5 linked regions of the Canis lupus familiaris genome follow. Each later gene encodes a partner of the first gene's protein in a complex. Links are inferred from orthologs where the notes say so. Each region holds a gene or a part of one and is shown in the gene's direction. Other genes may lie near its edges.

Region 1 (4,070 bases):
AGAGAGAGAGAGAACTGCAAGTAGAGATTCAGCTAGGTGGTCCTATTAGGTACAGACGCTGGTCGGCCAGGCCTCGGTCTTCATTTTTTTATTCATGATAGACATAGAGAGAGAGGCAGAGACACAGGCAGAGGGAGAAGCAGGCTCCATGCAGGGAGCCCGACGCAGGACTCGATCCCGGGACCCCAGGATCACGCCCTGAGCCAAAAGGCAGGCGCTAAACCCCTGAGCTCCCCAGGGATCCCCCAGGCCTCGGTCTTTTAAAACCCACCCCAACAATTTACCTTTCTAGGTAGTTTATCAGACTCCGGGATATGGCAGCAGTTTTAATTGCTCCGTTGTTGAGCGTGTTAACTCCCTGCACGTTACCCGATTAATCTGGGGTCTTCTCCCAGGTCTAAACTATCACGGGGCTCTTCTACTTGAACAGTTTGTCTGGTCTGTGCCGTCAGGGGCAGTAGGCACCTTTGAGGTCGCTGCCTAGAACGACCTGTGATGACTTGGAAACCTCCCTAAAGACAACAACAGAAAAGCAACAGACCTCCTCCCGGGGAAAGCCTGTGTCACGCCCGCTCGGGCTTGGGGCTGGGGCTGGGGAGCCCCCCGGGTGCGGAGGCTGGTGCACCCCCAGGCGAGCGGCGGCGTGGACTAGTCCCGCGCGGGGGAGCTGTCTGCCGGATGTCAGGGTCCCTAAGTGCCCGGAGTCGCCTCCCACAGTTGCTCCCCGCATGTTTATTTACTTGCTCGACCGGCGGTAACTGAACGCGCCCGAGTGCGGCGGGCGGCGGCCTCCTCGCGGCTTCTCCGCGTGCTCCCGAAGGGCGTGCGGCGGGGTCGCTCCCCGCGGGCTCCCGGCGCGTGCAGGCCCCCCGCCCCCCGCCCCCCGGCCGGTGCGGATCTGCGGCCGCAGTCCCGGGGCGGGCCGCCGCGTGGGTGCCGCCCAGACCGCCGAGGCTGCGCCGGCCCGGCTCCCCCGCCCCCCGCCGCCCGCCGCCCGCCGGCGCGGCCCCTCCTCCTCCTCCCCTCCTCCTCCTCCTCCTCCTCCTCCTCCTCCTCCCCGGCGGCGCTCGCGGGCTCCCTCTCTTCCCTCTTCCCACACCGCCCTCAGCCGCTCCCTCCCCGCACGCCGGTCTGGCGAGGAATCGAGCGCCGCGCGCATCGATGGTCCTGCCCTCTGCGGCCGCCAGGCCCCGAACCCATCGGTGAGCTCGGAGCTCGATTTCCCTAGGCGGCGGCCGCGGCGGCGGAGGCACAGCGGCGGCGGCGGCGGCGGCGGCGGCGGCGGCGGCGGTGGCGGCTGCCCGGCCAGTACTCCCGGCCCCCGCCATTTCGGACGGGGAGCTAGCGCGGCGCGGGCACTGAAGGCGGCGGCGGGGGCCAGAGGCTCGGCGGCTCCCAGGTGCGGGAGAGAGGTACGGCGCGGACCACCCCTCCCGGGCCCCTGCCCCGGTCCCGACCCTCCTCGCCGGCGCCGGGCGGGGCCGGCGGCGAGTGAATGAATTAGGGGTCCCCGGAGGGGCGGGGCGGGGAGGGGGCGCGGGCGCGGGCGCGGGGCCCCGGCGGGCGGGCGGGCGGGCGGGGCGGGGGCGTCTGCAGGGGGAGGCGCGGGGGCGCGGGGACGCGGCGACGCGGGGAATGAGGAATGGGCGGTGCGGGGCTGAGCAGGGTGAGGCTGGAGGCGGCCGCCGCCGGGGCTGCTTCCTGGACGGGGAACCCCTTCCTTCCTCCTCCCCGAGAGCCGCGGCCGGAGGCGGCCGGGTGCGGAGAAACTCGCGGGCTGGGCGGGCTGCCCCTCGGGGCGGCCGGGTGCGGTGGAGGTTACTCCCGATGCTCTCCAGGCTCCCCTCCCCCTCGTCCTCTCTCTCTCTCTCTCTCTCCCTCTCCCTTCGCTCCCGCACCTCTTCCTCCCTTCCCAGCCCTCGGCTGCCTCGGTTACTGCCTCCTCCTCTGCTGCATCGAGCATCTCTAGGACGGAGGCATAAACTTCTCCCTCGAGCGCAGACCGGACGGATAGTGGTCCTTTTCAGAGTATAGGGTGGGTATGGGAGTAATAGGAGAAGGTCACGTTTCGGAAGAGCCGAGGAAAGTGCTGAGGAGACCACTGTTGGTGGTTATTGTGTTTGGAAAAAAAAAAAAAAAAATGCATCTGCAGCCGAGTTCCTGACTGCTCCCCTCCCCCATGTATGGGCTGTGACATTGCTGTGGCCACAAAGGAGGAGGTGGAGGTAGAGATGGTGGTGGAAGAACAGGTGGCCAACACCCTGCAACGTAAAGCCCGTGACTTCGTGAAAAGGAAAAAGTTAATCCCAGAAGGTCTGTTTTGCTTTGTCAAGTTAAAACACACACACACACACACACACACACACACACACACACACACACAAAACCCGCAGAGCAGAAACAGGGCTTTTTCCTTGCTAGTTGAGTGTAGACAGCAATAGCTAGAATCCTACTTAAAGTTTAATTTGCCTGTTCTTGTCCTTTCCCGTGTCTCTTGTATATTACCTTTGTCCTCACAAATTTGACCCCCATCCCAAGAAGTACTACTAAATGGCACTCACACACATTTTTTTTTGTTTTTTTAAATTGACTTGCAAAGAGGACTTAATTGTAGCAGTCTCCCAGCCAACTGCCTGAAATACTCTTAAGCATGTGTATGCTCTAGCAGAAGTCCTAAGCTACCTTCTTAAGTCTTGGCATTTATCAAAATAAGAGTTAAAGCAGAAAGGTACTTTCTGATTTTTATACAATATACATGTTATATTTGTAGTGGGGAAAAAAAATCATTTACATAGAAATTACAAAGGGAAAAATTCTGTTCCTAATCATCATCTCAGAATCAACCATATGAGTGATGTCACTCTTAGGTGACTAAGGTCCAACGTGCTGACTCGACCATATGATAGACTATAGACACCAAATACGGTTGATATCAATACTGTTTACTTTGAGACTGTAGACATCCACAGCCATACTTGATTTTAAGAGACTGTAGATGAGAGGATAATTCAGTTTTATGATTCAAGTGACTTTCTTTTTCCTGTAACAAAACACTGGGTTCTAGTCCCACTTTACCCCTCTGTAGCTATGGGTGAGGGCGGCTCTTTCTGGGCTATGATCTTCAGTAAGACTCCGTGGGAACCCAGTTCTGTCTAGTGGATTTAAATATTATTTGGTTTCTAAAATCCAATACAGGGATTTTTTTTTTTTTCTTCCCCAGAAACAACGGCTGCATAAACAGGTAGACACCAGAAGGTGTGTGTCTCTCAGAATTCACACAGTTAAGCTCTAGTCTGGCATCTGTCCACAGTATCTCCTAGGCTATCAAACTTTTTAGTTGAAAGGACACCTTATACTCTTGAAAATTATTGAAGATCCCCATATGGGGTGTGTCGATACGTACCCTAATACAAATTAAAACTGAGAATTAAAAAAATTGGTTAATTCATTTAAAAATAGAAATAATAAGCCTATTACTTGGTAACATAATAGCATTTTTATGAAAACGGTTTTTCAAAACAGAATAGTGGCATTGTTTCACATTTTTGCTAATTTCTTTAACTATATTGCTTAATAGAAGACATCTGTATATCTGGTTCTGTGTTCACTGTATTGTGATCACGCCTGGAAAACTCTGCACTTGTGCAAAGAGTGGAAAGGGTAAATAACATTGTGGTAGTAATAGTATTGTTACTATTAGTGTGGTTTTGACCTCTTGGACCCCCAAAAGTTTTAGTAATGCTACTGGATTCTCTTGGATGACAGTTTGATTAACTACTGTTCTAGGCTATCCAAATTGTTGAGGGGGAAGGATAGGCAGAGAGGTGGCGTACATTTTGGTGTGATTCTTCTCATTGTTCCCCATTTCCTATGGCCTGTTGGAATAAAAAGTGGGAGTGAACAGGATAAGATACATGCTTGTAGAGGCTCCCATGATGGCCTAGCACATAAGGCTAGGTGGCACAGAATAGGCCACGGAGCTGTAATATAACAATTGTGTAGCCTAACTGTTCTTTGTGAGAAGACTAAAATAGCTTAAGGAGGTAACGGTTAATATGTTATCATTTGGA
Region 2 (4,110 bases), on another chromosome or scaffold:
TGCTTTCGCAGAGCACCTCCAACAGGTCCCCAGTGGAACTGTGGCGTTGTGTGTGCAAAAGAGCATTTGGGTGTCAAGGTGGTTGTGGTTGTTTTTTTTTTTTCCTGTATGAGCTAAGAGATCAATCACATATTTGAAAACATGGGGGAGGATATGTGGAGTATTTGTTGGTGACTTCAATGTTGTGTGATGTTGCCCTGGGGCCTCCTCCCTCCCCTTTTTCTTTTTGCCAAGGTGCATTTTTGAGAGGCTTTCTAGGCCATCTCTTAGGAGAGAGATCATATTGCACAACCCGGGTCTTTCTTTCCCCTTCACGGTGTCTTCCTCCAACCATTCTGTCAGGAGACACAAGGCCAACAGCGAGCTCCTGTTCTGTGCCAGTCCTCTTAGCTCATGGAAACCTCCCTTCAGTTCTTTAAAAAAAAAAAAAAAATTTTTTTCATTTTTGAAATATAGAAATCTGAAATATTGAAATTTGAAATATTGAAATATAGACGACACACACACACACACACACACAATCACTTCCCTGCAGTTCTTGAGGAAGATAGTTATTCCCATTTTACAGATAATAGAGGTAACAACTAACATTCTTACTAGGTGTTTACGTCGGGCACTGTGCTAAATGCTTTACAAGTATCGTCCCATTCGATTCTCACAGGAATACTCTAAAATCGGAACTACTGGGGAACCCTGGGTGGCTTAGCGGTTTGGCACCTGCCTTTGGTCCAGGGTGTGATCCTGGAGTCCCGGGATCAAGTCCCACATCAGGCTCCAGGCATGGAGCCTGCTTCTCCCTCTGCCTGTGTCTCTGCCTCTCTCTCAATCTCTCAGTCTGTGTCTCTCATGAATAAATAAATAAAATATTTAAAAAAAAAATAAATAAAATCGGAACTACTGTCCGGATGACACAACCGACAGCCAGGACAGGGGTCTTTCCGAGGCTACACAAGGTGCGGTTGGCATTTGAACCCAAGTCTTCGTGACCTAGAGGCGGAGCTGTCTCATCACTCATTTCTGGATGGGTTGAGGGCTTCTTTCCATGCAGAACCAAGGAAATGTGAGCGCGAACCCCAATGCTGATCCCTATCCGACGCGAATCCACGGATCAGCGCGTCCCGCCGCATCCCCAGCTCGCAAGCTCCGACCCCGGCCTCACACCGACCGCAGAAGGGCCGCGCATGCGTACCACCACGTCCCGCTCGGCCCCGCCCCCCGGGAGGGCTCCTCTCCGAGCCGTCGGCTCTGGGGCTTGCGCACTGCGCACTACGTCCCCAGCTCCGGCTTCTTCCCGGTCGGGGACTTCCGGTGCGCGGGGTGCGGTTCCGGGTCGTGGCGCGACTTGGGGCAACAGGGTTGCTGCTCCGGCGGCGGCGTTGGTGGCGGCGGCGGCGAGCGACGGGGGCATGAGGGCGAGCCAGAAAAACGGCAGTTGAACCGGCGGGGAGGAGCGCCAGTCCCCGAGGATTCCGAGAGTGCGGAGGCCGGGGCAGGGACCGGGAGGCGCGGGGAAGCCGGGCCCTTCCCTCAGGAACGTATCCCCGGGCCGATCCGACCCGTAGTGTGGCAGCAGCTTCAGGTAAAGGTTGCCCCAGCCGCTAGCTTCCTCGCTCACTCTCGGGTCAACCTACCCGAGGAGCCAAGCGGCCCTTCTGGGCGCTGCCCTGCGTCGGTAGCCTGCCTGGCCCTTGATCAGGGCTTCATTGAGCATCCGTTTCCTGATCTTTTCCAGAACTGGAGGCTGCTGTGAGCCTGACAGCTTGGGTGTCTGATTGGGGGAGGAGAAGCCCGTGGACTGGGTAGTGTTGGGTGGGGGGGAGGGTTGGCTCTGACAGTTTCTGGTCCTACCACCTGGCAACATGTAGTTGTCCTAATCTTCGTAACATGAAAATTGTGTTTAAAGCATTGTCTCTGTGGTCCCTGTTTCCTTAGCGTTCCTTTTCCACAATTGTCCCAAAGGAGTAAGCGGCCTCGCAACACTTTTTTTTTTTTTTTTATTTTTTATTTCTAGCTGGAGTGCTGCTGGAACTTGGATTCAGCTTTTTATGAGAATGGCAAAGGGGTCTTCTAAATCTGGTTAAGGCTAAACGAACAAACAAAAAACAAAAAAGTAGTTTAAACAAGATTATTACTTTTAACTGGAGACTCAAAAGTTGACTCAGAAATTGGTTGAGATTTTATTTGGAATGAATGCACCTAATTTTTGAAGCCTGTTCCATACAGTACTTGGCACGGTGCGAAGCATCATGTTTTAAACCAAAACCATCGAAGTTCAAAGCTTCCCAGATGTGAACAAATGGAGACAGGTCTTAACACATGGCAGTTCAAACAAAGTCAACATTCTCATTCTATGTCTCACAAGTAAAAGGGGTGGATTGTTCATTTAAAATCCTAGTATAACAGGAAAAGTTGGCACCATGTTTTATTCCTCATTCGGTGAGCCCATACAAGGTGCTTAGTCAATGCTGAAAGAATTCTTGATGAACATTGATTATTGTGTTCATCTTTTTCAGTTTACACACTTGCTGGGGCCTGCGAGGCATGCTTGTGGCCCCTTTGTCATTTAGCTTTATGCTCATATCTACTTTCAATCACTGTGGTGCCAGGCTACTCACATTCTACGCCTCTTGATGTGGCTCCAGCTATGCTTGAAAAAGTCCCCTTCCTTAATTCTATACCCTGATCCTTTACTCTAGATAAGTAGCACCTCAGATCCCATTTGTTTTCTCTTTGTCCATTGTTTTTTTGTAGGACATTCTCCTTGCCTAGATTTCTCCTTTTGTTTCTACTCATTGAGATGTTACCTAGGGCCCAGCAGAAATTGGTCTCCCTCCACCAATTTGAGACAACCCCAGTTGGGAAAGATTTCTTTTTTGGAATCCTATAAATACTCATATCTATAATAATTTCACTTAGCAAACATTTACTGAACACATACACATGCACCAGGTACCATGCTAGACAATGTATGGATAAGTAAGACTCAGTCCTTGCCTGTGGGGAGCTCAATTTAGTGAGAGAGATAAGGAAATAATTTCAAGACAGTGATAAGTACACTGTGTGAAGGTACTTTCTGTGATGCAGTGATAGCATGGGGGTGAGGGGGGGTATTAACTTTCGAGGAGTGTGCTATGATCAGGTAATGCTTCATGATGTGGTTATTTACCATGTGCTGAAACTATATTTAGGTTTCTCTTAATCATTTTAGCCTCAATTTACAGATTAGGAAGATTCGGGATAAATTACACATTTGGTACGAGACAGGCAGGATTTAACCCCACGTCTGTCCCATGCCTACATCTGTGCATTTTTCATTATGTGTTTCCTTCTTTCACACACCATAACACTATATACAAGTATATATTGAAGAAACTATAAAAGAGAAAAAATATGAATGCCAAAATGAATGTTACAGAGAGTCTTTTATTTTATTATTATTATTATTATTTATTATTTTTAAAGATTTTTTATTTTATTCATGAGAGACAGAGAGAGAGAGAGAGAGAGGTGGAGACACAGGCAGAGAGAGAAGCAGGCTCCGTGCAGGGAGCCTGATGTGGGACTCGATCCCAGATCTCCAGAATCAGGCCCTGGGCTGAAGGCAGCGCTAAACTGCTGAGCCACCAGGGCTTCCCGAGAGTCTTTTTTTTTTTTTTTTTTAATAAAGATTTTTATTTATTTATTCATGATAGATATATATATAGAGAGAGGCAGAGAGACACAGGCAGAGGGAGAGGCAGGCTCCATGCAGGGACCTGACATGGGTCTCGATCCCGGGTCTCCAGGACTGTGCCCTGGGCCAAAGGCAGGCGCTAAACCACTGAGCCATCCAGGGATCCCCCCTCCCCCAGAAGAGTCTTTTAAATGTAGAGAAAACTGTGATCTTTCAAGGCGAGAAGGTAGTAGGTGGGTCAGTTCAACTTTCAATATAAGAATGGAAGACCTTCTATAGAGAATAACGTGGTCTCTGGATTTAATTCCTGTCCCTACTCTTATTCCTTGACCTTTGGCAAGTTTCTTAATTCCAGTCATTATTTTCTTCAAGTATGGGTTGGTATAGGGGGATAATATTGATCTCATGGAGTGTTGTGAATATTTAATGAGCTAATT
Region 3 (3,508 bases), on another chromosome or scaffold:
GAGAGAGAGAGAGAGAGAGAGAGGCAGAGACACAGGCAGAGGGAGAAGCAGGCTCCATGCACCGGGAGCCCGACGTGGGATTCGATCCCGGGTCTCCAGGATCGCGCCCTGGGCCAAAGGCAGGCACCAAACCGCTGCGCCACCCAGGGATCCCAAAATTTTTTTTTAAGATTTTATTTATTTATTCATGAGAGACACACAGAGAGAGGCAGAGACACAGGCAGAGGGAGAAACAGACTCCATGCAGGGAGCCCAACGTGGGACTTCGATCCCGGGTCTCCAGGATCACACCCTGGGCTGAAGCATTCTCTAGTAACAACACTGATTTAAGTTTCCACTAAGATGTAACTGAATGCAACTACATGTTGGGGTTTTTGTTTGTTTGTTTGTTTGTTTGTTTGTTTTGAGAACAGATTTGACAGGAGAGCAGGGAGTGTGAAGGGGATGAGGTTGGGGGATGAGGTTGGAACCCCAAGAATCAGGAAAGGTTCCAGGTTCCATTTGCTGGGGTGCAAATGCAATTTCATCCATTCTACCATCTTTCAGAATGGAGTCTGGAGTTCCTGTTTCGTGTGCTGAGTCCTTCAGCTTTTGGGTTGAAATCCAGATGGTTATTAAAGTGATCTTTTTTTCTCACTTCTTCAGTCTCTGCCCTGTGTGATTTGCTAATGGTGGAGCTTATCTATAATAAGGCTCAGGTGAATTTAGCTTCAGGCTCTTCTGCTTCACCCATACTTAACTTGAGGTGGGAAACCGAAAGCTGCCCCAAACATCTTGAGAATTCCAAGGACTTTCTTAGAATTCTGAGGACTTCATCGGCACTCCTGACACCCAGAGGGTGCATTCTACTTCCCCAAAGCCTTGTTTCATTCCCATTCCTTCCAGGTTTCTGGTTATAAACGGCCAGTCATTAAAAATTGCATCATTGGGGCTTAGGAAGTGGCTTGATTAGTCTTTACACCAAGCAGAGGTAGGAGGGGAGCCCAAGATGAGAGAAACCCCCAGAATGTAGCCTGACTTTGCCTAATCCATCTCTGTCCCTGGCCTAAGAATCTGGTTTATCAAAGGGTAACATGAGTCCTCTGAACTTAATAAAGAATCTCCAAACAGAGATGAAGCAGAGCTCCATTTCCCTCAGATTAATTGTGCTAATCATTTCTTCCCATGGGTTTTTAGAAGGATTCGCCATCTTCTTTCTCAGTGAAAGAAGTTCACTTTGACTCTACTAACAAGGTCATAAACACTGGCACCAAAGTACTCATTTTTTTCCCCTTCTGTGAGCAGATGGGTTTCCCAACACCATCTTCTTCAGCCTGGAAGAGGAAGAGGAACTGGAAGGTGGAGGGCCTGCAGAATTCACGTGCTTCCCAGAAGATCTCGTGGCGGAGCAGCTGACCTATATGGACGCAGTATGTATTCTTTCTGTGCCTGAGATGTGCTTCTACTTAAAATGTGGGGACTGACCATACCAGTGGCCTGGGGAGGGCAGTGGGGTAATGTGATTTAAGTCTTTTCTAATCCTTGAGAGAGGCTGTGCCTGTAAATGCAGAGAGAAGATGTGACTTGAATCAATCATCTGAATAATTCAGGCCTAAGCTCTCCTTGCAATTCTGGGGGAAGGTGCTTTTTTACTTGGCACTCGATACACGGAGGGAAGTAAGAATTCTAATTCTCGTGAAACAAAATCGACCCTGTTCCGTGGGTTTTTCTCTGCCTCTAGACTCATAAATATTTCAAGATCTGAACTGTTTATTTGGAGGATTGTAAAGCGGTCAAAGTATAAGTTAGGATAAAATAAGATCGCTGAATCCACATGTGACTCTATCTGCCAGTTCATTCCTATGTGTGCTCCCATGCTTTTAAAGTTTGAATATGTTTGTTAGCCATACAAATTTGATTAGTCACATGTCATAGTGCAATGGTAGCTGGTTAACACCAGTTAAAGAAAAGAGGGCCATTATAGATCATCCTGATGCTTTTAGCTCTTCTTCACTTACCGCTTTTGAAGAAAACAGAAGAGAGAGTGACAGTTTCCATCTAGTGAGCACACAAACTATCAGAAGCAAATCAGAGAGTCTACATAAAGTAAATCCTGGTGTTCTCTCTTCCATACAAACCCTTACATGTCTTGTATTGAGTTGTCATACAGATGAGAATCAGATTTGACCAACGAATTTGCCTTTGTTTTTGTTCCACAACTGACAGCATGAAAGAAAGGTAGGAAACTTCATTGGATGACTTTTAGGCAAAGACAGGCTATAAATTCCTTTCTTCCTTTTACTCTGTGACATTGAATGGGTTTTCCCTTTATATGCTTATTTTTTTTCATTTAAAATCATGTAAAATAGCAACATGATGACGATGTCACATGCACTGTACTTCTTTGGGTCACTTGTCGGGTGGTCATTGGGCATCCATACGCATCGTACACAGTTCATGATCTTGAGTGCCCAGAATGCACCATGAATATGAACCACTACTATAGATTTGTACCTGTTTTTTGAGATATAAGTCAAAATGTTGTCAGTCATTTAAAATGGTCTTTTGGCCATTGTGTTCCATTTGTTCAGTCCAGCAGATTTAGAAGGAACATGTGGGCTTTTCTGACCAGTTAATATATTAATTATTTACTCCTGTCCATTGAAATAGACACGGTTGAGGCAAGTCAAGTAGAAAAGGGTTGTTTGTGCATTTACAAAATATCAATTCACAGATGAGCCAGATGACATGCTTTGCTGAATGAAATGTCTGCGTGGTCCTTAAAGTCAGTTTCTCTTTTGTTCTAGCAACTATTCAAGAAAGTAGTGCCTCACCACTGCCTGGGCTGCATTTGGTCTCGAAGAGATAAGAAGGAGAACAAACATTTGGCTCCTACAATCCGTGCTACCATCTCTCAGTTTAACACGCTCACCAAGTGTGTTGTCAGCACCATACTGGGGGGCAAAGAACTCAAAACTCAGCAGAGAGCCAAAGTCATCGAGAAGTGGATCAACATTGCCCACGTAATTGTCTTTTTAAAAATATTCGTTGTTTTTATACTAGATAGTAGAGACTACTCCATCTCTCTGTTTAAATGGGTCTATGCAGTCAGTGGCAAGGCAATCAAATCATATGTGAACGACCATTGGGTTTTTTGTTGCTCTTATTGTTGTTCCTCCAAAGTAAGAAAAAAAAAATGCCTCTCTTAACTTAGGGGCTTCTTTTTCCTCTTTAAAGAAAATTGGTCCCTTGCATGCTTCTTCTTTCTGCTTACGGGCCTGCACACTGCTGTGTCTCCAGCACAGCGTCTGCTTTTCCCCTTATATTCACAAACTGAGTGTCAATTCTGCCTACGTTCAGTAAATTGAACTTGATATATTGTCTAAGTGTCAGATAGACTCTTCCACACAATGATTACCTACCTATGCACACTTCCAGCACCCAGAAGCGTTGTATCTTCTACAGATTTAAAGAGCTGGTGCTGTCTCAGAATCCTGAATCTCTTTGCTAAAGGACTGAGATGCACAGA
Region 4 (4,164 bases), on another chromosome or scaffold:
GAGGTCCGCTCCCGGGACTGCCGGTTCCTCAGAGGCAGGAACGTGTCCGTCCGTCCGCCGCGTGGTCCCTGCTCCCGCACAGGCCCGGTGCCCGCTGGAGGGCGCTCAACGCAAACATTAGTCCTTTTTTCGTCCTCTGTATTTGAAAGCCAGTGTTGGACGAAGTAACTACTGGAGGAAGGAAGTGGCAGCTCGGACTAGGGACCTCCAAGGGAGGACGGTCAATTAGACCGAAGCGGGTCTAATCGTGCGGGAATAGGGATCCCTGGGTGGCGCAGCGGTTTAGCGCCTGCCTTTGGCCCAGGGCACGATCCTGGAGACCCGGGATCGAATCCCATGTCAGGCTCCCTGCATGGAGCCTGCTTCTCCCTCTGCCTATGTCTCTGCCTCTCTCTCTGTCTCTCTCTGTGACTATCATAAATAAAAAAAAAAAAAAAATTAATCGTGCGGGAATAAAGTTGTGTCCTATGCTCCCAACAGGGTGTCTCCTTCCACCCCACGGGTCCCCCTGGCAAGGGAGCACAGGCTCTTAACAACCACCTCTGGTCCCTTCTCTTTTTTTTTTTTTTTTAAAGATTTTATTTATTGATTCATGAGACACAGAGAGGCAGAGACACAGGCAGAGGGAGAAGCAGGCTCCTCGCAGGGAGCCCGATGCAGGACTCGATCCCCGGACTCCAGGATCAGGGCCTGAGCTGAAGGCGGCGCTAAACCGCTGAGCCACCCGGGCTGCCCTCACCGCGAGCGCTCAAACGCTTTGGCGACACCCCAGTCCCCGGCACGCTGCAGGGTCGGGGGCCACCAGCGGCGGGCGAGACGCCCGGTGCCGCGGGCTCCGGGGAAGGCGGGGCGAGCCCAAGGGAGCGCACGTACCACGCAGAGCGCCGGAAACGCGGGACAGAGGAACCGAGAACCGGAAGTGGCGGCTTCCTGCCCCGCCCCCTTACGCGAGGGCGGGAACCCCGCGCTTCTCGGAAAACGCGGACTGGATTCCGGTCCGCTACAGGCGTGGGTGCGGGTGGGGAGTGTAACCGCGTCAGGGGGAGTAAGCGATCCCTGTCGGCCTAAAACGCTTCCCCCGGGAGTTTTAGCTTCGGTGTTGTCGGGGGGCAGGGGAATGTCAAATCCGGCTCCTATCCTCCCTCGGGGTCGGGAGACGGGAATCCACTCGGATTGAGTGCGGGGCGGCGTGGGCTCCAGGATCCCTGAGCGGGGGCTCCGAGGACAGCGGGCGGGGGCCCGTGACTGCTGGGGCCTGGCCGCTGGGCGCCCGGCGCTCCCCGAGTCCGCGGCCCTGGCTCCTGTCCTCACTTCCTTCCCGTTTTGGCTCCTGCAGTTGGAGCAGGCGGACGTGGGGGGGGGAGGGGGCGAGCGGAAAGGGCGGGAGGGCCCGGGAGCCTGGCGGGCGGTAACGGGGGTGCGGAAAAGCCGAGGAGGGGACTCGGGCCAGGGACTCGGTTGGGGACCGGAGACCGACGGGAACAGCGGCCCGGGACCCGCGCTGCTCCCACCGTTCCCGAGCAGGTCAGAGCCTGAGCACCCTGTGACCCTGCCCGTTCCCGTACTCGTGACCCCCAAACCCCAGATGCACCAGGGACCCCCATAGCCCACTCCTGTGTTGCTTCCCTCCCCAAACTCCCGTACGGTCACCTGGGCACTCACCCGCGTCCCTCCCCTCCCCGATCCCCCGCGCCCACCTGACTCTCCACCTGCCCCCCCGTTTCTCCCCAGGCGCCCCCATGGCCCGACCCCGCTGATTCCTTCACTCGGCCATGCTCCCGCGGCCCCTGCGGCTGCTTTGGGACGCGAGTCCCCCCGGGGGAGTCGTGCTGAGCAGCTTCCGGAGCCGAGACCCCGAAGAGGGTGGGGGCCCAGGTGGCCGGGGCGTGGGCGGGGGGCAGGAGGAAGAGGAGGAGGAGGAAGAAGACGAGGTGAGACGCGAGTGGTGGGAAGTCGGGAGGTGGACATGTCGGAGACGCTCTGCCTCGCCCTCGGGTCTCTGTCCCTCCTCTCTCCCTCCGGCCTCCTGCTGGGTGTCTGCCAGTCGGCCCGGCGGGGAGTCCCGGAGTTCCTGGGGCTCCCGCTGGCGGTGGGACTCAGCACTGGCCCGCGGGAACCTTCCCTGGCTCTCCCCGCCCCGGCCCCAGGGCGCCAGCCTTTCCGGCCGTCGTGTCTCGGTCCCCGTCGCCCTCCGTGTTTTTGTTTGGCGGGGTGGGGTTTGTTTCCACAGTAACCGGCCTCTCCGACTCCGGGATTGGGGAGGGAACCCTTCGATTTCGTGACCCCTCCCCCTCTCCCGCTGGGCCGCGAGTGGAGGCGGGAAGCCCGGGTTCTCGGACTTTGGAGGGAACATCCCAGGCTGGGCCGGGGGGGTCACCTGCTCTCCGCCGGGACTAATGGTGGTGGCCAGGAGCGGGATCCGGGGCCCCAGAAGGGGCCAGAAATTGGATTCGGGGCCCCGAGGCCCAGGACTCCTGGGTCCAGAGCCTGGGTGAGGGCAGGGTGACTGGCAGGGCTGGTTTTTCGGGATCGGTTGCGGGAGGGGCTGGGGCCACGTGACCCTGAGTCGGCTGCACAACCCCCCTCCCCATCATCCCGACTTCCCCTTCTCCTTCCTGTACTGGCATTGGAGCCGCCACCTTGAGGGGGTCTCCCAGCACTGAGGGACCAGGGAAGGGGGGCTCCCCTGAAGGAGTAACTCTTGGGGCTCGGTCAGTTCCTGCGGGGGAGGGCGGAGCTTGCGGCTGTGCCCGTGACTGAGGTTCCAGCTTTCAAGGCCTCTGCCTCTGGCTTTCTGCCTTTCTCGCTTCCCCCTCCTATCCTTCGCACCTTGCTTCTCTGCTGTGTTGGGGTTCAGCTCTGGGGGGAAAGGGCGACAGAGGTCTCCGGGCCCAGGGTTCCTGCATTCCACCCACCCCCCCACTGCCACCCCCTCGACTCCACCGGGCCCTGAGGCGGCTTGGGGGGGGCTGTCTAGGCCCCAGTGGGGGAGACCTGGGGTCACCAGCCCCCCCCACCCCTCGCACTCGCTGGTACTGTTCCCCGCCACCACAGGTGAGGGGTACAGAGGGAGGATTAGGGCTGGGGGCAGTAGGGGGTGGCGTGGGACTGTCTCACCTCCCCTTCCTTGCTCTGCCAGGCCCCTGTGTCTGTCTGGGATGAGGAGGAGAATGGTGCCACCTTTACTGTCACAAGCCGCCAGTATCGGCCTCTTGATCCCTTGGTGAGATCCTAACTTTGGCTTCTCACCTCTGACCCATGACCTCCCAGTCTCCTGTCCTCTGGCCAACTCTTTGGAGACCTGAACTCTGCCGTGTGACTTTGGTCAATCAAGTTTTTGGCCGTCTCTGAATCTTCGTATAACGAGCCCCCAGCATTTCCTGAGTCTGGGATTTTCCCCAGAGGTCTAGGGGCTAAGTTGAAAACAGGGTCAGTGACTTTCCTTCTGTCTCCCCCAGGCCCCGACGCCTCCCCCTCGGTCCTCCAGAAGGCTCCGAGCTGGCACTCTGGAGGCCCTGGTCAGACACCTGCTGGATGCCCGGACATCAGGGGCTGACGTGACCTTCACACCAGCTTTCCTGGCCACCCACAGGGCCTTCACTTCCACCCCTGCCCTGCTAGGGCTTGTGGCTGACAGGTCAGGGTCATAAGGGACCAAGGATCATGGAGGTGTCTGGACTTCTTAAAGCCAGAAAATCCCCCCAGAATAGTCAAAGCCACTGGGGGCTTGGGGAAAATGGGCAGATCGAATCTCTTCTCCTTCCTAGGCTGGAAGCCCTCGAATCTCATCCTACTGATGAACTAGAGAGGACAATAGGGTGAGTGACCGCTGATTGTTAACCTCACAGTCCCCTCTGGCTGAGCTGCAGCTTGATAGCTGACCCCTGGCTGATTCCCCTTCTCCCAGGGTAGCCACCTCTGTACTGTCAACCTGGCTGGCCTCTCACCCTGAGGATTTTGGCTCTGAGGTCAAGGGCCAGCTTGACCGGCTTGAGAGCTTCTTGCTTCGGACAGGGTATGCAGCAGGGGAGGGTGTTGGGGGGGGCAGCGCTGACCTCATCCGCAACCTCCGGTTCCGGGTGGACCCCCAGGCCCCCGACCTTCCTAAGCCCCTGGCCCTCCCCGGCGATCCCCCTGCTGACCCCACGGATGTCCTGGTGTTCC
Region 5 (4,299 bases), on another chromosome or scaffold:
AGTATCAACTTTAACCAAAGCTAGTTCTCTAAACTGTCTCATCTGTGAAATGAATACAATGGGATTGCTATGAGTATTAAACGAGATTGTGCTCAAAAAGCACTTAATGGTAAACCGTGAGGGCCAGCCACACAGTGCCGTTGTTAAACACCTGCATCCCTGAGATGAACAGTTTGTAGATAATGCTCCTTTAGCGCTCCCCAAACATTCACTAAGTGCCTATTCTGTGTAGAGCCCGTGGTGCAAAAGATCTGCCTTGCAGGAGTTTGCTATCTAGTTCAGAGAGCCAGGAGAGATTACAAAACAGATAAACCAAGTGCCCCACGTTCTGGGACCTGGGAGCTGCGAAAGAGGTCTGTTTCCACGGAGGTGATTCTTTAAGAATCACCTTAAATAAATAATTTATTCAAAGGCGTTCAAATTTAAGTGGCTTTGAAAGATGAACATATTGAACTCAAAACGCACACGCAAAATCTACGCTGCAGGTACGCATTTTATTCTTGGTGATAAATCTTGGGGTCGGGGGTGGGGAGACGTATGGGAAATACTGCAATCACTTCTATTACCCGACAAATATCGAGCAGTAGGTTTCGTGAGAAAAGCACCTATCTTTTGTCCAGTCTGTTTACTATACATTGCATGCCCTGGGCAGGTCTTCATGTTCAGGAACAAAGTACACACACACACACACACACACACACACACACACACACACGCCCCTTTCCGAAACTAAAGGCCCGGGGACTCCCGAGAGGTGGGAGCCCTCGCGACCCAAGCACACAATGGGGGTTGCTTCGCGGTAGCTCGCACCCCACCCCGCAGGCCAGGGTTCGACGCCTCGGGGCCGTTTGGCTCCTCCCCTGCAGTCCTCGGGGGCGCCCCCCCTCCCGCGCTTCCCTCCTCCTCCGCTGGGGAGCCGGAAAACCCGGAGCGAACCGGCCCCGCCGGGCGGCGCATGCTCAGTAGCGAGCAGGTTCAGTTCGCTAGTAGGAAGCTGGAGCGCTACACCGGCGTCGGCGGCGGCACCTCCGGGCAGCCGGATCCTCCGACGACGACCTCGGGCCTTTCCCCTCCCCCGCTCCGCCCCGGCCCCGCTCCGCCCCGGGCCGCTTGCGTTTCGGGGTCCCCGCCGCGCGGAGCGGGCGCCGCGGCCGGAGTGTCCCTCCACACGCCCTCCCCCAGCCGCCGGCCGCGCCGCGGGGCCAGGCCGGGCCCGGGAGCGTAGCCCCGGCGGGCGGCGGCCGCGGCGGAGGGCAGCCCGGGGCGGCGCCGGCGGGCCGGGGAGGGGCGGGGGGGGCCCGGCCCCGGGGCGGTGGTGCGGGATGCCGCCGCCGCCGCCTCCGGGCTGCGTTCGCTGTCCGCCGCGGGTGCCCGTGTCGGGTGGCTGGCCGGGCGCGGGCCTCGCCCGTCAGCCGCCTCTGCGGGGCTAGCCCGGCCGCGCGGCGCCCCGAGGGGGCCGGGCCGTCCGGCGGGGCCGCGGGCCTGTTGGGTGCTGCGAGCTCGCCCTCTCGCGGCTCCCCGGCCCGGCCGCCGCCGCCCCTCTCCCCGCCCAGAGGCGCCCCGGGGGCACCATGCAGGCGCAGCAGCTGCCGTACGAGTTCTTCAGCGAGGAGAACGCACCCAAGTGGCGGGGGCTGCTGGTGCCGGCGCTGAAGAAGGTGAGGAGCGCGCGCGGGACCCTGCTTCCCGGCTTGCAGCCCCTGCGAGGGCGCGGGGCCGCGGCCGGGGAAGGGCCGGGGAAGGGCCGGGGAAGGGCCGGGGAAGGGCCGGGGAAGGGCCGGGCCGGGGAGGCGGGGCGCGCGCTGGGCCGTCTTTCTTCCCGGCCTGGGAGGCTTCCCCCACGCTCGCCGGCTCGCTGTTGACATTCACCGGGTGTGTGGGAAGGCCTCGGGAAGCCAGGCAGAGTTTGTCCGAATCATCCAGCCTCGGAGAGGTGACTGTCCTGCCCCCCCGACTCGCAGGCAGGAGTTGGGGGAGGCTCAGCTTGCAGCGGAGGTCAAAGCAGGCCACTTTTCCGCCTTGTCCGTCTTGCCCGGGGAACTGCTGTCAGCCTCCAGTTTTAGGTGTCCAGTGTGCTGTTTTCGGTGGGCTCGAGAACGCTCTAGCCACACCGCTGGCTCTGGGTAATTGCAGAGCTCGCCTGCCAGCCGGAACACGGCCTGCTCTGCTCGCCCTCTGTAATCACTCTTCATTCCCCCGGATTCCCCCACTGCCCCGGGGAACAGGGGCGGGTGCACAGGCTACTCCCTCCCCAACCCCCACCCCCACCCCCCCCCCAGCGTCCGAGAATCTTCATTCTATCTTGCTTTGTTAATTTGGATTTTCAGCCTTTCTGTATTTTTTCAAGTTTGCCACATTGTTATCTAAAGTTGTACACTCCATGATCTGTGCTTTTAAAATGTTTTAGTACATTTAGGAATTGTTGCTACACTTTAAAAGCTTCTAAAGCAACATTGTGACAAACACCAAAGCGTCAGAAACTGATGTGTTTGAACATAAAAACGGTGTTTTTTTGTTTCCCTTTTACCTTTTCTATAAATAGATTACTTTAGTAGTGTTGCTTAATCCCAATTTCTTGTTGCTCAAAAAATGTTTTTTATGTTATTAAAAATATTTTTGCTCCTACTGAGAGTTGAGATTGTGGTGTACCTTTTGTTCTAAACATTTATACTTTTAAAAACTGTGTCTTAAAAGGTGCCTGATGTTTCCCAAAGGCCAGCAACTTTTACTTTCCCTTTTGCCCTACGCAGCACTCCCCCCCCCCCCCCCCCAACAGCTCCTTGGAAGCTTACAGTGGAAACTATTTAGTTAGCCGAATTTGCTCATTTTTTTCAGATATAAGTTACTGACTCTTTTCCTTAAGTGTCTGAGTAAGTAATAGGCATCTCTGTGATACTGTTTTCTAAGAAAACCAGAGAGATGCCATATTCCTTATATACCGTATTCATTAGCTATCCCATCAGGGCTCTCAACTCTTTTTACTTTACCTGTAATCTTGGTGTCTTAGCTTATAAGAGGGGAGTAGGAGGTCTCAGTCATGATAGAAGCCTGGTACTGATGGAGGTGGGGGTGGAGTGGGGAGGAGACAGAGACATTGTTGAGAACATACAGAAGAACTCATAAAACCCAATCTGTTTGGGGCTGTTTGGCTTAGGAGCAAACAACTCCTGTCCCAGGGAACCATCAAGATAGTCTGTTAGTTGAGGGTACTGTGAAGTAATGGAAAGAGCACTGTAGGAGTTGGCAGATCAAGTCTAACTGCCACACTGGTGGCCCTTGCTGAAGCATTTTCCATAGAAGCATTTTGTTTGGCTGGCACAGTGTTCTTTTACAAACTTTTAATGTAATTAGTTGCCAGTATTTAAACGTGGGAGATGTTACGTAAAATCTGAATTTTCAGTTTTTCTTGAAGAATAGGAAGGTCTCTCCCCACTGGGCAAGACCGTAAACTGCTGGAGCTGAGTGAATGGCTTTCCTCTTTAGACTGGGCATGCATCTCCAATTTTTCACAGTCCCCACCGGTCCTCGTTGCCTATTTACATAAACCTGCTTTGACTTGAAGCAGAGATAACCTTGCATGACAGAAGTGATGGGGGGAGGTGGAAGTGTACACAATCTAGCTGATAAGTAAAGATTCTTCCAATTCTTATTTGAGATAGCCTCTGCTCTTGACTCTAAGCCACCTAAGATGAGGTTGAAAATCTATTGCATATCTGGATGCACTCCTGGCAGCTCAGACCTGCATTTTCACCTGCTTGCTAGACATTTCATGTGGATAGCTCCCTATTTTGAACTCTTCCTTTAGACTTATTTTACTGTTTGCAGAAACAAGTGCCCAACTTGTGTTTTCTTACCTGAGGCTCTGTTGTTATGTTATTCTCTTAACCTGGACTGCCCTTTGCCTGGCCAACACTAACTCAGGTGTTTTCTCAAATCCTCAGGGCTGAGTTGGATAGTCTTTATTTTCTTTTAGCAGCAAACCCTAGCACTTCAGTGAGTTGTGAGTTCCTATTTAGCCATCTCCCCCATCCCAGGACTAGATTGGATGGTCCTTGAGAATAGGAATGGTATTTTACCCCTCTTTTTACCCTTCACACATTCAGTGCCTGATACTTATCTAGTAGGCACATAATTTGGCTAAATGGGTGAGGGAATACCCAAACTAAAACCGTCACCTCTCTCCCTTACACTGACTATTTAAAAAATTCCTCTTGATTAGGGCTTTATTATTTTATTTGGTTCAAAACTTTGGAATCATCTCTTACTTCTCTCTTTTACTATTCCTCCCCATACCCAGGC

Evidence for each region.
Region 2: the proteins of KRAS (region 1) and MAPKAP1 are in contact, whole or in part, in a crystal structure (PDB 7LC1), measured with the Homo sapiens proteins. The link is inferred for Canis lupus familiaris from reciprocal best matches to the Homo sapiens genes KRAS and MAPKAP1. Residues at the interface, in NP_001356715.1 of Homo sapiens: Ile21, His27, Val29, Glu31, Asp33, Pro34, Ile36, Glu37, Asp38, Ser39, Tyr40, Arg41, Leu56, Glu62, Glu63, Tyr64, Ser65, Ala66, Met67, Asp69, Gln70; in NP_001006618.1 of Homo sapiens: Phe280, His287, Gly288, Phe289, Ser290, Leu291, Ile292, Gln293, Lys307, Lys310, Arg311, Arg312, Lys313, Gly314, Ser315, Phe363, Glu365, Ile369, Val374, Met377, Leu378, Ser380, His381, Tyr484, Glu487, Ser488.
Region 3: the proteins of KRAS (region 1) and RGL1 are in contact, whole or in part, in a crystal structure (PDB 7SCX), measured with the Homo sapiens proteins. The link is inferred for Canis lupus familiaris from reciprocal best matches to the Homo sapiens genes KRAS and RGL1. Residues at the interface, in NP_001356715.1 of Homo sapiens: Ile24, Gln25, Glu31, Asp33, Pro34, Thr35, Ile36, Glu37, Asp38, Ser39, Tyr40, Arg41, Leu56, Tyr64, Met67; in NP_001284600.1 of Homo sapiens: Ile651, Arg653, Asn660, Gly661, Asn662, Met663, Tyr664, Lys665, Ser666, Ile667, Met668, Lys685, Asn687.
Region 4: the proteins of KRAS (region 1) and RGL2 are in contact, whole or in part, in a crystal structure (PDB 8B69), measured with the Homo sapiens proteins. The link is inferred for Canis lupus familiaris from reciprocal best matches to the Homo sapiens genes KRAS and RGL2. Residues at the interface, in NP_001356715.1 of Homo sapiens: Ile24, Gln25, His27, Val29, Glu31, Asp33, Pro34, Thr35, Ile36, Glu37, Asp38, Ser39, Tyr40, Arg41, Lys42, Tyr64; in NP_004752.1 of Homo sapiens: Ile651, Arg653, Glu660, Asp661, Gly662, Ser663, Val664, Tyr665, Lys666, Ser667, Ile668, Leu669, Lys685, Lys686, Asn688, Arg689.
Region 5: the proteins of KRAS (region 1) and SOS1 are in contact, whole or in part, in a crystal structure (PDB 8BE4), measured with the Homo sapiens proteins. The link is inferred for Canis lupus familiaris from reciprocal best matches to the Homo sapiens genes KRAS and SOS1. Residues at the interface, in NP_001356715.1 of Homo sapiens: Ser17, Ala18, Ile21, Gln25, Asp30, Glu31, Tyr32, Pro34, Thr35, Glu37, Tyr40, Asp54, Ile55, Leu56, Asp57, Thr58, Ala59, Gly60, Gln61, Glu63, Tyr64, Ser65, Ala66, Met67, Arg68, Asp69, Gln70, Tyr71, Arg73, His95; in NP_005624.2 of Homo sapiens: Lys602, Trp809, Thr810, Lys814, Leu822, Met824, Ile825, Arg826, Thr828, Thr829, Thr832, Leu833, Leu872, Val875, Ser876, Asn879, Ser880, Ser881, Pro882, Tyr884, Ser908, Asp910, His911, Tyr912, Lys913, Phe929, Phe930, Gly931, Ile932, Leu934.

Annotation. Positions count from the first base shown.
Region 1 is NC_049248.1:24,281,366-24,285,435, reverse strand, and holds the start of KRAS (GTPase KRas), read left to right. Parts: upstream 1-1,269; 5' UTR 1,270-1,412; intron 1,413-4,070. UniProt on the Homo sapiens protein: Ras proteins bind GDP/GTP and possess intrinsic GTPase activity. Plays an important role in the regulation of cell proliferation.
Region 2 is NC_049230.1:57,531,859-57,535,968, forward strand, and holds the start of MAPKAP1 (target of rapamycin complex 2 subunit MAPKAP1), read left to right. Parts: upstream 1-1,304; 5' UTR 1,305-1,579; intron 1,580-4,110. UniProt on the Homo sapiens protein: Component of the mechanistic target of rapamycin complex 2 (mTORC2), which transduces signals from growth factors to pathways involved in proliferation, cytoskeletal organization, lipogenesis and anabolic output.
Region 3 is NC_049228.1:17,072,929-17,076,436, forward strand, and holds part of RGL1 (ral guanine nucleotide dissociation stimulator-like 1), read left to right. Parts: intron 1-1,284; coding exon 1,285-1,409; intron 1,410-2,786; coding exon 2,787-3,002; intron 3,003-3,508. UniProt on the Homo sapiens protein: Probable guanine nucleotide exchange factor.
Region 4 is NC_049233.1:2,891,196-2,895,359, reverse strand, and holds the start of RGL2 (ral guanine nucleotide dissociation stimulator-like 2), read left to right. Parts: upstream 1-1,363; 5' UTR 1,364-1,524; intron 1,525-1,731; 5' UTR 1,732-1,772; coding exon 1,773-1,931; intron 1,932-3,139; coding exon 3,140-3,223; intron 3,224-3,458; coding exon 3,459-3,637; intron 3,638-3,767; coding exon 3,768-3,818; intron 3,819-3,907; coding exon 3,908-4,164. UniProt on the Homo sapiens protein: Probable guanine nucleotide exchange factor. Putative effector of Ras and/or Rap. Associates with the GTP-bound form of Rap 1A and H-Ras in vitro.
Region 5 is NC_049238.1:31,306,586-31,310,884, reverse strand, and holds the start of SOS1 (son of sevenless homolog 1), read left to right. Parts: upstream 1-1,496; 5' UTR 1,497-1,571; coding exon 1,572-1,658; intron 1,659-4,299.